2 linked regions of the Astyanax mexicanus genome follow. The protein of the gene in region 2 purifies or fractionates together with the protein of the main gene of each other region. This does not show direct contact. Links are inferred from orthologs where the notes say so. Each region holds a gene or a part of one and is shown on either strand. Other genes may lie near its edges.

Region 1 (8,255 bases), on a different chromosome or scaffold from region 2:
TGGAAACAAAGCACTATTTATTACCATTCTTACAGTATCACAATATATTGCAAAATATTAAATCACCAGCTATGATATTGTGATCTTTATAATTGTGCTGGGCTGTAAACATTAAAAACCCCATCAGCACTGCTGTTTAGCGCCTGATCCAGTCATGCCAGCACAACACTTAACACTGCTAACCCAACACGCCTATTTCAGCACAGTCACTGCAGTGCTGAGAATAATACATGCTCTGTGTTGGTCCTGTGGGGTTCAGACCATTTAAGGACAGGGTAAAAGGAGAGTATTATTACAGGACAGATACAGGACTACTGTCTGTAGAATTAAAGAAGTGCAAAGTGCTCCTACTGTATACACTCAGTGGAGCTAAAAAAAAAAAAAAGAGTAATGATTGTAAAAACAAGGAGGTGGTCACAGGTTATGCTTAAAAACACAGCGTATGTTTTCAGTTTTATCTAGTTACCATCTGCAAAACATGCCTATTAAAACTTAATTATCAATTGGGCTCCGTAAAACAGTAATAACTTTCTCTGGGTTGTGCATTTCAGTCTATGTTTACCTCAGACTAAGTCTATTCATCTGTACATACTGCAGACAAGTTACTAAAGAAGCAGATCCTCTATACTTACTCGCCTTTGATCTTCCCTGCAGCATAGGCTGCTCTCCACATGTGGCCTTGCAACTGCTTCAGTGCAGTGGTTTTCCTGTCTGCAGCCATCTGCCAGAGGACATTATCCACAACCTCCCGGATAGCCTTCTCCTCATCCGTGTGCACCGTCTGATCCACTGTGTGAACTGGGCACGCTCTGTTCTGCTTTAAGTCTTCTTCAGCCTGGAAACAGGGGCACATGTTTGAGTGAATTTGAGCAGAATCAGCTGACCGCATGACGACAGCCCAATTGCTGAATACTAATGTAAGAACGGCATCATGCTGGAGCCGCTAGGGTAGAATTAATGGGCTGAATAAAGAAGTCAGTTATGTGCAGTTATGAAGATTAATAATAATACTGCAGCAGTAATTCCCACTGGAATTAGAAGAATTCACCCAAGAACTACCAAAAGAGCCTTACATATCACTACTAGTCTTCTCCTAGTAGTGATATGAGGGACAACAGCAGCTCAGCAATTGTATGTTGATCAGTGTACACCTGATGGTAGAATAATGAACATAAACATTAGCCAATGTGAGAGAGGCCTTGAGTTGCTTGGAAGTTACCCTGGGAACTTTTGTGACCTCGCAGACCATTACATGCACTGCTACTAAAGTGATCATTGTTGGTCTTCCACTCTTGGGGAGGGTAACAATGTTCTTAAATTTCCTCCATTTGAAAACAATCTGTTTGACTGTGGATTGGTGAAGTCTAAAACTCTTTAGAGATGGTTCAGTAACCATTTTCAGCCTGAAGAGCTGGAAAGAGTCGGCAACAAAAAAAAGGTCACAAACTCTAATACTTCGTTGGACTACCTTTAGCTTTGACTTCAGCACGCATTAATTGTGGCATTGTTTCAAAAAGCTTCTGAAATGTCACAATATTTATTTCACAAGATCTTGCAGCAGCATTGATGATGGTAGAGTCTGACCGCTGCGCAAAGCCTTTTTCCAGCACATCCCAAAGATTCTCAATGAGGTTAAGCTCTGAACTCTGTGGTGAACAAGCCATGTGTGAAAATGATGATCTCATGCTCCCTGAATCACTCTTTCACAATTCCAGCCCCATGAATCCTGACATCACCATCTTGGAATATAGCCGTGCCATCAGGAAAGAGAAAATCCATTGATGGAATAACCTGGTCTATATTCAGTATATTCAGGTAGTCAGCTGACCTCATTCTTTCAGCACATACTGCTGCTGAACCTAGACCTGCATTCATAATATCATAGTGACTTATAAACATGGTACTGGGCGGTAACTGTAAATCTTATTAATTAATAGTCATTAATATATCCGTATTTGTTGTTAAGTTTGTGTATCATTTCCTCAGACAAGGTATAATACTTTTGTATAATGCTGTGTACATATATTTCTCTAATATCCTGAGAGAAAGACCAGTGCAGGCCAGGCTGCTGCTCTGGGTGAATGGGTGGATGGTGGGTGGATGACCTGTTTCTTTAGAAGATGCACGTCCTGCTTGCACTCATCCTCCTCCCAGTGCGCTGACAGGTAGTCCTCCAGATGCTCTCTGATGTATGGAAATAAAACGTCCTGCAAATAAAAGTAGAGTAACAGAGAATTCTTCCTCAGTAACTACCATCATGTGCCTGGTGTAATTATTATGTGTATAAATCATGTATATAACAGCGGTACTACCTTCACGAATGTGATGGGGGTCGTGGTTCCTTCTATGTCCAGCAGAAAGACGCTAACGTTCTCCGGAACTGTAATCGTTGCCATCTTCCAGAATGGCGAACGATCTGCCTCTATTATAAAGTTTTCAGAATAGTATCAGTACAGGAATCAGTTCCTCAGATCATCCAGATTCACCGCCCGACCAACAATCACAGATAATCCAGAGAAAAGCAGCCAGAGGAGCACACTAGCCAGCTAGCACTCTGCTGCTAACACATGGCTTGGTCAACGGGTTGCCAAATAATGGTAAGAAAAAAACTCTATTTCTATAGTTCTGAATGGCAACGTAGTCTGTGAGTGTAGTCAGTAATGACAGTACTTATCATGTTTTGACATGCAGACAAAATGCATAAGCAAGGGCAGATTCTTAAGAACTGCTATTCAAAAAGTTAATTCATATTTATTACATTTCTGCTGCACATGATCTAGTTAAAAACAAAAATGGTTTTTACACTCTTAAAATATTCTTTAAAAAGGATATTGTAGATACGATAAGATAATATAATCACAATATGATAAAATATAAATATATTGCTCAGCACTACAATAATAATAATACTTATTTAATTCATTTTTATATTTACATTTCTTTTAAATATACATGATTCCATACACAACTATTTTATATATGTGTAAATAAATAGTGTTTATTTTTAACAAACGATTTTATTTAAAAAAAATACAAAAAAAACACTGCAGTTTTAACGCTATACATAACGGAGGTTACCTACTTACCAATCTGGCAACCACGAATATGGGCATTGGCCCTGCCCTGCAATGGTGCACAACTGGATTGCGCACACTTTACGCAAAGCTACCTGATCTACAGCCCATACGCCGAAGCACTTGAGGCAAGAAATTATTTAAAGATCAGTGATTATGTATGTACGTATGTATGTATGCGCAGGTTCGCTTATTTTCAGGAATATTCTGTGTGAACGACATTTATTCAGAATATTATTTAATCACAGATGTGTACAGTGTATTATTCGCTGGTAAAAACATTGTTGAACAGCTTTGCTTAATAAAAAAAATAATAACGTGATATTCTAAATGTATTATATTTTTAAAATAGACCAATTCAGTTAAATGGCAGTTTGTTTTCGAGGGGATGTTTATATTAAATTTTATGTCATTTTTAAATATCATTTCAGTTCAATCCAGTGCCAAGACGTTTTCGTCATGTTTGCCTTTTGCCCCTAAATGTCATTTAATCTTTAATTTTTTTATTTATTTTTTTTACAAAATGAGCACTAATGAGTTAGAATATGTATATGCTGTCCCATCCAAAATACAGGAACAGTTAGGTCTATCCCATTATTATTTTTTTTACATCAAAGGATTATTAGGAGACAAAATATCAACATTTCAGCTTTTATTTCCAGTTATGTACATCTGGATCCGATACATATTTCAGAAGATATCATCTTTTATCTGAACCCACCCATTTGTATTGTCAGCAAAGGTACTGAAACTGTTAGGTGTGTTTTGTTGCCCAACTGTGTCCTGACACACAGATACACAGTTTCAGATTTGGGTTTTTGACAGGCTGGTGAGGAAAGCTGGTTCTGTGCTGGGATTAGAGCTGGAGTCTTTAACACCACTGGCAGAGAAGAGAACCCAGAACAGTAAACTAAAAAATTTTTTTCATTTTTTTATTCTGGTCACAACAATGGACATACCCCATCTCTGCAGACACAATCTCCTAGATGCCCTATTTATATTATTTTACCCCATTCTGCACTACTAGATCTATATTTCTATTTATTTTCCACTGTTTACATGTTTGCACTGGTACATATTTTTTTACGGTGTTTAACTGCACTAGAACTTCCCTCTGAGATTTCCAGAATACATCCATTCATTCATTCATCCATCCATCCTTCCATTTATTTATCTATCTACTACCTACTACTAAAGGACCATACTTTTATACTTTATCTATTAACCAATCCATCCATCCAACCACCCATCCATCCACCCATCCATCCACCTGCCCATCTACTACCTACTACTAAAGGACTGTACTTTTATACTTTATCTATCCATCCATCCATTTATCTATCTACATATCTACTACCTACTACTAAAGGACTGTACTTTTATACTTTATCTATCCATCCATCTACCCATTTATTCATCCATCCATCCATCCAAGCCAGGCTGGAGGTTGTCAAGCATTTGAACTGATGAGTCAAACCGTTACCAGTGTGCATTCCTGTCGCTGTGTCCAAAATAAGCAGACTTCAGAAGTGCGTATATAAAGAGGGCACTAATTTTATTAGGACGCGACCCCTTAATTCCTCCCGCAGCCCCGCCCTCTTCTGCTCCCGCCTTTTCTGTTTGCGTCACCAGACCCCATCAGCCATTTTATCCGCCGCGTCAGTATTTCAGTGAGTGTTTGCTGTTTGGCTCTTTTTTATAGCTATAAAATCGCTTTAGCAGCTCCGCAGAGGGTCACCCCACACACCTACACACTCTAAAATGCAGACAGAACAGGAAAGTACCGACTTCAGCACCGACGAGTTTCCAGAGGGGTCCAAAATCAACGCGAGCAGGAATCAACAGGATGACGGGTGAGCCGCTGGCTGCTAGGCCAAGGCCAGATCAAGGCTGCAGCTTCTTGCTCGGAATTTTCCGGTCCACCTTAAATATTCCTGCAGTGGAGTGCTGGCGCCGGTAGTGGCGCCACAGTAAAAGCCCTGCACTATTTAAGGTGGACTGAATAATTGTATTTAGGAGCCTACCGGGCCGGAATAGGAAAACTCCAGTGTATTAACCTTAAATAGACTTTGGGCTAATTAAAGAAAACATATTTAGTTAGCTAACCTAGCTAGCTTTGTTTTATTTTAAGGTTTTAGGTTATAATGAAATTGTAACTACTAGGCCAGCTAGTTAGCGTTAGTTTCATAGCTAATGCTAACTAACCTATATAACGCTAGCTAATAAATATTTAAGTGCTTTACACTGAGCAAAAGCAAACGCCTCTCTGAAATACTCAATTTGGCCTTTTTAACTCTGTTTAAAAAAACTCTATCTTGCCATACAAATTATAGATAGATGAATGGTATAAAGTTGTTGGTGCTTTCAATACTTAACCTAAAATTCTCTGCCGTTGATTGTATTATTATTTTAACTGGTTTATTTGCTTGTCCTCTAGTTTAGGTTTAAATACAGAAAGAATTATTGCAGTAATTCTGCCAATTAAGAGCATTAATTCTTGTATTGTAACGTTAGTTAGGATAGTTTAGGCAACAGAAAAGTATATGGGTTGCTGGTGGGTATCCAATTACTTCAAGTACATCTGTCTATTATCTAGTTAGCTAATTATCTTTAATTACTATAAGTGGTTCAAAAGCAATATCGTATCCTGCCTTCGTAAGTCAAAGCATATTCCTTGCTAAATAAAAACCTTACCCAGTACCACACTAGAAAACTTTTTTAAATGGATCAAGCCACCCCTGCTGTTTATACTGTGTATGACTGTGCATGTGACCAATCTGACCTCCTAGTTGATACTTAATGCAGTTACTGGCAATGTATGCTTCACAGTTAAATTAAATGTATATATAAAATAAAAAAGAAAAGAATTACACCTCTATTTGGGAGATTTTTTTTCCTTAGGGAACCATTTTCAGGCATTTTATTATTGATAACAAGCTAAGCAATTTGAACCCCCACTACTTTATCATGTGATCTACATTATGTTGCCAACAACCAGTGAAACAATGCAACACATGGGGGGGGGGGGGGGGGTGATTTTAATAAGCTTACAACAAGAGTGTAAGATTATAAAGACAAAGATACTGTCTTGTTACATTTTATAAAAAAAAAAAAAACAATAATGCCAAACAAAGTATTGTGCTTTGATGCAGTATTTCCCCACAATTTAATAATACTGATTTGTTTGTTTTAACAGGAAAATGTTTATTGGAGGCCTGAGTTGGGACACCAGCAAGAAAGACCTAACAGACTACCTGTCCAAGTTTGGAGAAGTGTTGGACTGCACGATCAAAACAGACCCCATGACTGGCCGTTCTCGAGGCTTTGGGTTTGTGCTCTTCCGGGATGCAGAAAGTGTGGACAGGGTGAGTTCTCTACATTGCTAGCATGGGTACATTGGGATTTATCTGTAAATTACTACAATCGTACAATAATTAAAGCTGAACAATTGAAAAATATCTGTTTGCTCAGGTTCTGGAACTGAAGGAACACAAACTGGATGGTAAGCTTATTGATCCGAAGCGAGCCAAGGCCATGAAGGGGAAGGAACCTCCCAAAAAGGTGTTTGTTGGTGGTCTCCATCCAGAAACAACAGAGGAACAAGTTCGGGAATACTTTGGAAATTACGGAACTGTAAGTAATATGAATGGCCTAGGACTAAAAAAAAAACACATTATAGTACTTGGTTTCTCCAGAAGTGTTAACTTGTATGAGTCCATGCTAGTGCTAAAGTGGTTGGCATGTGTGTTCCTAACAGATTGAAAACATTGAACTTCCTGTGGATGGTAAGACAAATGAGAGGCGAGGATTCTGCTTTGTAACGTATGTGGAAGAAGAGCCTGTTCAGAAGCTTTTGGAAAACAGATACCACCAAATTGGAAGTGGAAAGGTTGGTTTACTGCGTTTATTTACGAGCATGGCTAGTCCAATAAGGTCTAAATTAAACTTTTTTTTTTAATGTGGGTATGTTTTTTAGTGTGAAGTTAAAGTTGCCCAGCCTAAAGAAGTCTACAGACAGCAGCAGGGCAGAAGTGACCGGGGCTTTGGAGAAGGAAGAGGAGGAGGATTCAGGGGTCGTGGAAGAGGAGGTATGTAGTCTTTTGTCTAAAGCAGCAGTCAGTTGTATTTTCTGTTTTGGCTTTAGGTTTTCATTCCAACCAAGGAGAATCACTCCTCAAACCCTTAACTCAAGTCTGAAAACAACTGATCCAACAGCTGCTTGATTGGATTGAAAACATGCAGTTATACTGTTCTTTGAGGAAGAGATGGGTGCATTTACAATTAGCCAAAACAGAGAACCACTGTGAGGGAGGGTTTTGCAGAAAGTACTAAAACTGAGTTCTTCCCTCTATGATTCTAACCATTTACATTCCTTTGTGCAGGGCAAGGTCAAGGATACAACCAGGGTTACAACAATTATTACGGACAAAACTATGGTAGCTATGGCAATGGATACAACCAGGGATATAATGGCTACTCTGGGTACGACTATTCAGGCTACAACTATCAGAATTACGGATATGGACAAGGGTATGATGACTACAACAGTAAGTCTTAACTTTTTATTTATTTGTGAGTTTTGCTATTTTATTGTTACAAACATGCATTAAACATTTGACAAAATATATATATATATTTTTAATAGGTCAGCCCAGCAGTTACGGCAAGGCCTCCAGGGAGGGTGGAAATCATCAGAACAACTACCAGCCATATTGACGAAATGACATGACCTGCTAAGAGTTATGGTAAGACTGCATCTTTGGCCTTACATCTGTCCTCTTGTATACAATTTAAAGATCAATAGACACAAACTGATTATCCTAAAACAAGTGGTATGCATTATCATGCACCCCATGTTGAGTAATTTGGGGATTTGTCTATAGATCTTTAATTATAATTTAATAATGCTTGTGTTAGTGGTGTGCCTTATTTTTGGTTTTAAAGCTCTCCAGAAAAACATAAGCGTTTTTCTGTAGATTGGTTTCCATTTTCCTCCCTGCTTTTTAACAGGTGATCATAAGGAAATAAGATAGTGTTGATAGCAATGCTAACAGGTAAAGTACTGCTAAAGGGTACAAAGTAAGGGCACCTCCTTATTTTATTTTTTTCATTCTTTCCCTAATTCTGATATTGTACTTGTTTGTACCTGCCAGCGGGGGACTTCATTGCAGGCCGTGTGTC
Region 2 (8,957 bases):
AGGTGGACAGATAGATAGATAGACAGACAGAAAGACAGACCCACAGATAGAGAGACAGGCAGGTAGGTTGGTAGGTAGGTAGACAGATAGATAGAGAGACAGATAGATAGGTGGGCAGGCATGGTAGGTTAGTAGGTAGGTAGGTAGGTAGGTAGGTAGGTAGATACATAGACAGACAGGCAGGTAGGTGGGTAGGCATATAGATAGACAGACAGACAGAAAGACAGGCAGGCAGGTAGGTAGGTTGGTAGGCTGGTAGATAGATAGTCAGACAGACAAAAAGGCAGGCAGGTAGGTTGTTAGGTAGGTAGGTAGGTAGGTAGGCAGATAGATAGACAGTCAGACAGACTGACAGGCAGGAAGATAGGTTGGCAGATAGATAAACAGATAGACAGGTAGGTTGGTATGTAGGCAGATAGATAGACAGACAAACATGCAGATAGATAGATAGATAGATAGATAGATAGATAGATAGATAGATAGATAGATAGATAGATAGATAGATAGATAGATAGATAGATAGATAAATAATTTGTATGGGAGCAAATGTAGCAATAATCTGAGATTGAGAGGAGAGAAAGAGAGAGGGAGGGGTATTGATTGCTGCCTCTTTAAGTGGAGGCTATTGCTGCTGCTGCTGCTGCCGTTGGGTGAAGAGCTTTTTGAATGAGAACTCCTCCTCAGACTAACAGCTGCAGTGAGGTGTGTGTGTGTGTGCGTTCGTGTGTTTGTGTGGGTGTGTGTGTGTGCGTGTGTCAGGGTCTGGCTCAGAAACCAATCAGTGACACCACAGATACTGAGGCAGGCTTTCAGTGGGGCTGGAACAGTGATTGTGAATGTCTAGGAGATAAACAGGACATACTGATACCACAGTAAAACACCAGTGTCACCTCCTGATACATAGACACACTAAACACAGCTTACTGTGTGATAAAAAAAAAAACAGGAAACAACAGTGTCACAAACAACACCAACCTATCTATTGTTTCTGTATGTCCCTAATAGACACATTTACCATATAATTTCTTCTGAAACTGAGAGTACAAATAGGGAACAGACTACACTAGATGCTGTAACATTGCTAAGAATATTAGAATGCTTTCAGCCTCAGGGAGTAGGGATGTCCTGATCAGGTTATTTTGCAAATTATCTGTGTCAGTTTATATGATCCAATGTGATTTGGGTTTGTATAAATAATAACAGCCATGCAGTTTAGATCATTCTGAAGTACTTTTACTTTGTTTTAGTAACATTTTATTTAATAAGACTTCTGACTGACCAGACTCCCTGACCATTTAGCTCCCAGTTCCTTTGAAACACTGCAGTCAAGTCACTTTTGTGTACATCTATGTGTATTCAGGTTTATACTCCCTGGACTGATATCTGTTAATTCCACACTGCACACTAGTTCCACACTAACTAAACTCTTTACTGTATTTACCTTCTGAGAACTCTCCTCAGTGCAGTCGACTGGGCGATACTGTCCACTACTTGCTATGAACACTGTGGTTAAACCATAGACTTAGAATTGGATTTGGACTCAAATAGCTGATACCTGATCCATTTAAACATGCCTGGATAAGATCGGGACATCGATATTAGTGAGTATAGTGGGGTATTTACATTTGATCATTAGGTCTGGATCACAAACATTGCTTCAAATAATCCCAAAGGTATTGGATGGAGCTCCAACCCTGTAGATATTCAGACCTACTGCTCCCAGTCTATCTGTTGATCCTCAGCTGATGATTGTGACCTGGTGGTATGGAGGCCTCATGTGCCGCTCCAGAGCATCCCAGTCTGTTGTCAGGGCTATATAAATTCTGTGTGTGTGTGCATTTTAACATCTTATGTCAGCACTGAGTGCACCTAAGTAGCAAGTAGTTGGATTAAGTAATTAAAAAAGGCTGCCTGGGTACTTTCAGACATTCATGGCTGGTTTCCCGGACAGGGATTAAGCCTAGTCTTTGACTACACAGAACTCTGAATTAACATTTTTCATTAAAAAGAAAATATAATCCATAGCTAAGCTTGATCCCTGTCTGGCTGTTGTTTATGAAACAACATATAGTCAATAGAACAGCTTCCTGTTTACTGTTAGTGTACCCAACTAAAGTGAGGATAGAGCTAATTAGTTTATTACTATTAATACTGTTACTACTAATGCTACTACTGTGATTACTGTTACTGCTAATACTGTTAAAAATGTTAGTAATACTTCATACTATGATTACCACTACTTCCACTAATATTACTATAATTACTAATATTATTAACCATTTAGGTTATCTCCTAGTAACTAATACTGTAACTACTGTTACTGCTAATGCTATTAGTAATGTTACTAACACATCCTACTACTGTTAGTACTACTTTTACCAGTTTTGCTACAACTGCTCCTATTACTACTACTTCTACTACTACTGCTACTAATACTACTATGTAAGTACTACTATTACTATTGCTACTGTTTTACTGCAACCACTGCTATGGCTATTACTACTATTTCTATTACTCTCACTATGTTCACAACTACTGCCACTATTACTATCAATACTGCTACTTTAAAACTACTTTAAACTACAACTATTAATGTTATTACTACAACTACCGCTTACTATTACTACTTCTATTACTATCAATACTTATAAATCAGTTGACATTTTAAATCCTTTTTTTTTACTATGTATCATATGTATAAATAGTAGACATCAGACTACACGGAAATCATATTGTCCCAGCCTAATCATTTTTCATTATACCTGTCACAGGTGGACAAAGTGGACAATGACTAGGAGGACAATTTTAGCAAAAATTGACATTTGTTGAAAACATGTAAAGTGACTGATGTCACGGGTTCTTAAAGGAGGATTTATTCCAAGCTTGATATGGTTTTATGAAAACTGAAATAACTGAAGAAAAGTCTAAAGTATTTTTTTTAATCTTCAAAACTAAGAAAATAAAGTATAAAACTGTGTTGTTTAATCTCATTTTATCTTAACTAGGCAGCACCGTGAACATGACAAAAGAACACTGTAATAACTGTAATAAATGCAGAAAAAGTATTTTAAAGAGTAGCTTTCCTCTATGGTTGTAATAATTTGTTAATGAGTCTTGAGAAAGTGCTGGTAGATTCTGTGTGTCTCCAGAGCACAACAACCCTGCAGCAGCTGGAGTTATTTATGTACAGCCTCGAATATGAACCAATGAACTTTCCAGAACTCGCTAGAATATTTCTGCCGCTTTTTCCCGTCACATTTCTCCTCCCAGCTCCAGCGCACTGTCCTCTGATTGCTCTAAACCAAACCGCGCTGAGCGAAACAACCAATCAGCGAGAGGATGAATCTAAAGCGATGAGAAAAGTCACAATGCGCGAACCCGGCGTTTCGCTTTCCCATGTATAGCGGGTTGCCAGATTTGCAGGTGAAATAACACGACCGTTGATTAAAGAGAAATTGTGGAGCTTTCTGTGTACATTAACTAAGTGTACAATATAAAAAGCAAATCATTAATGAAGTGTAGGTGTAAATAAGTTTAATATATGTATGTTCTGTTCATTGCACATATCAGAAACACTGCTTGTTTGTGTTATTCAGCTTTTAAATACAAAAGAATCAAAAGTATCCACATTTTAAAGTATCCACTCATTTCTCAGGTGTCCATTGAAAATGAACGTATTTTAGTACAATGTAAATATATTAAAGAAGCTTAGTTGGGACATTTCGCTCAAGTGTGGCGTGATGTGCAGCTGCAATGGATTAAGTATAAACCAATAGCCATGAATCATTACAAATCCTGTTCTACCTTTCACTCTGCAAACTTTCCACTGCTTTATGTAATAAATATGTAACACAGTACTGTACTTTTAATTTCATTACTTGGGTAGTACTTAAGTACATAAATGATGGCATATCAACATTGAATTAACGTTGGTGTTATGCTTCAACCAACGTTGGATTTGGTGTTTATTTTAAAAAGTGAATAAATGTTGATATGGCAATGTTATTTCAACGTCGAACGTTCAACCTTTAATAAAACTTAGCTCATATTCGGGATGCTTAAAATTGTATGGAAGAGGGAAAAAAACTGTATGCCATGATGAAATTAACAATTTTATTTGTATTGCTGACTACCCAAGGCCAGAGTAGTGAGAGGGGCCCATGATAATCCAGATTTTTTTTTTCACGTGTACTGGCATGGATAGGGGCCCACTGACATTGAGAGTGTACAGGGCCCAGAATTTGAAACCATTTTTTCATCCTTCCATCCAAACATTTTTTTCAATTGTATAGTGATTCAATGTAAAATACTAATTCAAAAGGCAGAAGGTTGAGGACATTATGTTGATTGAAAGTTAAAATTTTATAGATATTTTAAACAGATATTTTTTAAACCATATTTCGACCATATTAAACCTGATTTCAACACTGAAACAATAACAACAGACAGTACTTCTATCATATTTCAACCATATTTCAACCACATTTCAACGCTGAAGGTCGGTTGTGTGCCAGTTGGGGGGTTAGCACTAGGTGGGCGATATGGCTCTAAAATAATATCACGATATTTCAGGGTATTTTTGCGATAACGATATACTTGCCGATATAGGAAAACAGAAATAATTCGTTAATTTCAGGAATATACTATAATAGTTTAACAGTATAATCATAATGTGGCAAAATAAATAACATAGCATAAAATAATATAATGCAGCAAAAAAAATTGCAGAATATTTAGTGCATGCATATAAACTGCAAACTAAAACAATTAAACAATACATTCACTTAAAGCTTCACAGTAAATAATGGACTACTTTTAAGACAGAACATCCCTATTATCACGATATGGATTTTTAATATCATGATATTTCTGTGTCACAATATATTGTATTTGGATATAATATTGCCCACCCCTAGTTAGCACTTCTACTTCTAAGTGTGGAGCTTAAAAACACTTTAACTTCTAATCAAGTCACCTTTTAAATAGAGCACTTGTACTTGTTTTATTATTATACATGTCTGTTTAAAACAGACAATTATGCAACATATGTGAGTCACGGAGGGATATTTCAGTGCGACATGGCAACCCAGATGCTGGGGTATAGTCATATTGAGCGGTGGGCGGCGCGTCTCCACTGTCGTCTCACAGTAGTTTCTGGAACCTCATGGTTACACCATGGAGAAAGTAAGTACCACTTCAGCCTGGGAATTAATTATATTCCTGCTGAGAAAATAGGAGATATATATTCTGTGGGGAACAGCATATACTTACTGCGTGTTTCTGCAGTTAGCTGAGGGGGGATTGTGTCGTGGTGTGAGTGGGCTGGCCAGTTAAACCCCAGCTAAGTTCGTTAGCGGCAGTTAACATTAGCCGGTGAGCTAGCGGTAATATTAGCTAAGCTAGCTGCTGTGTGACAGGCGCTGCTGCAGCGGTGCTCATTGTTAGCTCCGGTGCTAAGTTTATGAGCATGACTAATAAAATAAAAGCCAGTTATTGGAGTTATTCCTCTAGTTTATGTTTGGCAGTGCTGTAGCTCATTTTTATGGCACTGTTGTTTCGTTAACGCAGCTGTCTGACTCGTATTAGCAGCGTAACTAAGCAATTAGCTTAGTTCGCTAGGCTAGCTGTAAGTGCCTAGCTTAGCCTAGCTTAGCTTAGCCGGGGGAGGCTTTGCAGAGATGAAGCTGTAAGCTAGGTTAGGTGCATAAGCACTGCGACAGTTTATAAATGTCCCCTGTTGCTCTGATATAACATAGCTAACTATATCTATAATAAATGTATAGCTCTAAACAGAGTCGTTTTATATGGTTTTCTGTGGATAAAACACTTAATTCCTGCTAGTCTTGTTAACTTTTCTAAACGAAGTTGACCAGAAGTCCAGGTTTAGCTGATTAATTAACTTTATCTGTTTAAATTCTCCACCTTCTACTTTTCCTCCACTTGATTTGTTTCTGTCCTGACGATGTCAGATAGTTTACACAGGGTATAATTTATTTCTTTACTAGCAACACATAGCAATATAGTTACTGTGCCAAGTCCTGCTGGAAAATGAAATCCGCATCTCCATAAAAGCTGTCAGCAGAGGGAAGCATGAGTTATGTAAGACCAGCACCAGCAGATGACATGGCTCTCCAAACCATCACTGACCCATCAGTAAATTAAGCATTTAATTTGGAAATCAAGGGATCAGAGTCTGGAGGAGAAGTGGAGAGACACACAGTCCAAGCTGCCAGAGGTCTAGTGTGAAGTTTCCACAATCAGTGATGGTTTGGACAGCCATGTCTTCTGCTGGTGTTGGTTAGCTTCTCCACCTTCTGCTTTTTCGCCTCTTGATTTGTTTCTGTCCTGAGAATGTCAGATAGCAAGATATATGATATCGATCCTCTAAAAAAAGGGAAAAAAGAAGAGGAAATGACTGAAACCAATGTAAAGTTGATACAATTGTTCATCCCTAATACTAGGCACTAGTAACTAGTTTTTGAGTATGAAGATTTTGTTATAGTTAGTAGTGTCCTTGTATGGGCAATATTTTTATCCCAATTGCATATTAAGTGCTAATACAAACTCATATTTTTTAAATAAGGAATGTCAAAACAATGTATAGCCCAAGATATATATATTTTTATAGTATTATTAGTATGTAGTTGGGACACATCCTTAGTGTTGAGCAGTCTGGTATCAGTGTTGTAAGGTTTTAAGAATAGTAAGAACAGTTTGAGCGTATGTAGTATTATTAGTCTTTAACCACATAGACAAGTCTTTGTCATGAGTTGTGAAGACTGTAGGTGTTACTCTCCAGCCTGTAGATCAGCTGCTGTGACTGCTGTCAGTGGTTGTCTGTCAGTGACATTTGTGACACTTAGCTAAGAGCAGGTCTGTGTGGTGTGGCAGCTGACTCTGACCACTCTGATTTTTGACCACCACCAGTAAGCATTTGAAAATCAGTGGTATTAATAAGAATTTTTTCACTATTTGTTGCAGCAGAAGCCTTTACTTAGATTGTGCAGTAGATCACATTCCTGTGAGGATTGGATTGCATTCAGCCACAAAAGTATTAGTGTGGTCAGCTCATTATGTGTGATTTAGTAGGTCTGGGTCCCAAACACTGCTGTAACTCTTCTCAAATGTAGAATGCTGTTCTGCTGATCCACAGCCCAATGCCTGGGGTTTATACTCTTGTGGACAATGTTTGCTATTTGTAATCTGGTGGTATAGTGATGGCATGCTGCTCCAGACTTACCCATTTTAGCTTTTCTATGAAGATCTAAAATCTATGAAGATTAAAAGTTACCTTTACACATTGTATGATCTACAATCTTAAATCTGTACCTGATGCGCAGTTCTGAGATGATGTGGTGCTGCAGCTTACCCTATAAACCATTAGTGTGAAGAAGAGCTTTTTTGTGTGTAAAGTTGGGCGATGCTTTATTATCTAACCACTGTTGTGCTAAGTGAGTTGTTCTCTCTCTCACTCGTAGGTAGCTCTTCTTAGTTACATAAGAATGAGTGTATATATGAATACCTGAAATGTCACAAATAAAAAGAAACTGTGTGGACAGAAGTACTGGGACACTTTCCATCCATTGCTGTTTCAAAATCAAGAGTATTAAAGAGTTTTTTCTGACTTTGTAAGAGTAATTGTCTTTTAATTGCCATTTATTGACAATACTTGTTTGGTTAAGGAGGTCATCCAAAATTACAGGATTGAGCATCATGATTCCAGAAATCACAGTTTAATGGAGGGATGCTTTATACCCCTCTTGCCCGTGCCTGATATAAGGCATGGTGCCAGTAGGTTCATGTTTCTTCTCTAGAGACTTCTATTCTATTGGCTGTACTTTTCTACAAGGAAAAAATAAGCCGTGTGTGCACAAATAATTATGCCAACACACCTTGCCTTGCCATGAGTCATTGGTCACATAACATGCTGTAATATAAGCCAAATGCCATTAATGTAAATGTTAAGTGTGTCTTTAAAAAAAAAAAATAGTGGGTCAAGCACTGTAAGGTCTACGGGCAGATACTTCTAGTGGCTGGCCTGTTTAAATTGCAGTGCAAAAGAGTCTCAGCATCTTCCACCTGCTTCATGTTGTAATGTACATGGAGTTCTGGTTGAGTGCGGGACAAGCTGTGTGTTTCTGTTGCCCTAATACTTAAATTCTGCTGTTTTTTTATTTCTTTTCTGTTTCTCATTCTGTTTTTAAACCATCTCTAAGCAGTACTGAAAGTTCTTATCTTTTAAGTAAGAATCTGGGCAGTTAATCACTTAATCAAATCAGTCAGTGTCCTAATAAAGTATAGAATTGAATGTTTTTTAAAAGGTTTACCCATTACTATGCTCTTTTTCCCTCCCAGGTATCTCAGCTAAAAGACCAGGGCAATAAGGCGCTGAGCGCTGGAAACATTGATGAAGCCGTTCGTTGCTACACGGAAGCCCTGGTTTTAGACCCATCCAACCATGTCCTTTTCAGCAACCGCTCTGCTGCCTACGCCAAAAAGGGTGACTACGATAATGCCCTGAAAGATGCCTGCCAGACCATTAAAATCAAGCCAGACTGGGGCAAGGTGAATAAAATTCTTGCTTTTTTTTGTCTTTTATTTCCCCTCTTCTTCAGATCGGCTGGGTCAGCCATATGCTGAAATATTGATGGATGCACAGCACAAGACCGTTGACTCTATGTTTTAGCTTTTATAGCTAAGTTGCTATATGGTCGGTTGCCCTTATTGCTTCTGTAGATGGTTCATGAATAATATGTGGGACATATCCACAGAAATAAAGAAGCTGTATTTTGAGACTTTTTTGTTGATTTTGCAAACCGATAACAGTTTGGAGCACCACAGGAGTGTTTTATGGTATATCCTGTGCAGTTTGCACAAATAGGAAATGTGTTTAATTTGCTGATTGAACTTTTAGGTACATTTGGTGGATAAAAGTATTGGAACAAAGTATTTTAGTC

Evidence for each region.
Region 1: the proteins of stip1 (region 2) and hnrnpdl fractionate together in Homo sapiens (co-fractionation; 3 studies listed by BioGRID, with this or other methods). This does not show direct contact. The link is inferred for Astyanax mexicanus from reciprocal best matches to the Homo sapiens genes STIP1 and HNRNPDL.

What each region holds. Positions count from the first base shown.
Region 1 is NC_064427.1:26,846,193-26,854,447, reverse strand, and holds the start of hnrnpdl (heterogeneous nuclear ribonucleoprotein D-like), read left to right. Parts: upstream 1-4,695; 5' UTR 4,696-4,835; coding exon 4,836-4,927; intron 4,928-6,270; coding exon 6,271-6,439; intron 6,440-6,545; coding exon 6,546-6,707; intron 6,708-6,831; coding exon 6,832-6,963; intron 6,964-7,050; coding exon 7,051-7,162; intron 7,163-7,456; coding exon 7,457-7,621; intron 7,622-7,719; coding exon 7,720-7,790; 3' UTR 7,791-7,819; intron 7,820-8,227; exon of another isoform or gene 8,228-8,255. Other genes in the region: enoph1 (enolase-phosphatase E1), read right to left, coding at 633-835, 2,106-2,207, 2,313-2,396. UniProt on the Homo sapiens protein: Acts as a transcriptional regulator. Promotes transcription repression. Promotes transcription activation in differentiated myotubes. Binds to double- and single-stranded DNA sequences. Binds to the transcription suppressor CATR sequence of the COX5B promoter.
Region 2 is NC_064408.1:21,487,206-21,496,162, forward strand, and holds the start of stip1 (stress-induced-phosphoprotein 1), read left to right. Parts: upstream 1-5,099; 5' UTR 5,100-5,175; coding exon 5,176-5,184; intron 5,185-8,355; coding exon 8,356-8,565; intron 8,566-8,957. UniProt on the Homo sapiens protein: Acts as a co-chaperone for HSP90AA1. Mediates the association of the molecular chaperones HSPA8/HSC70 and HSP90.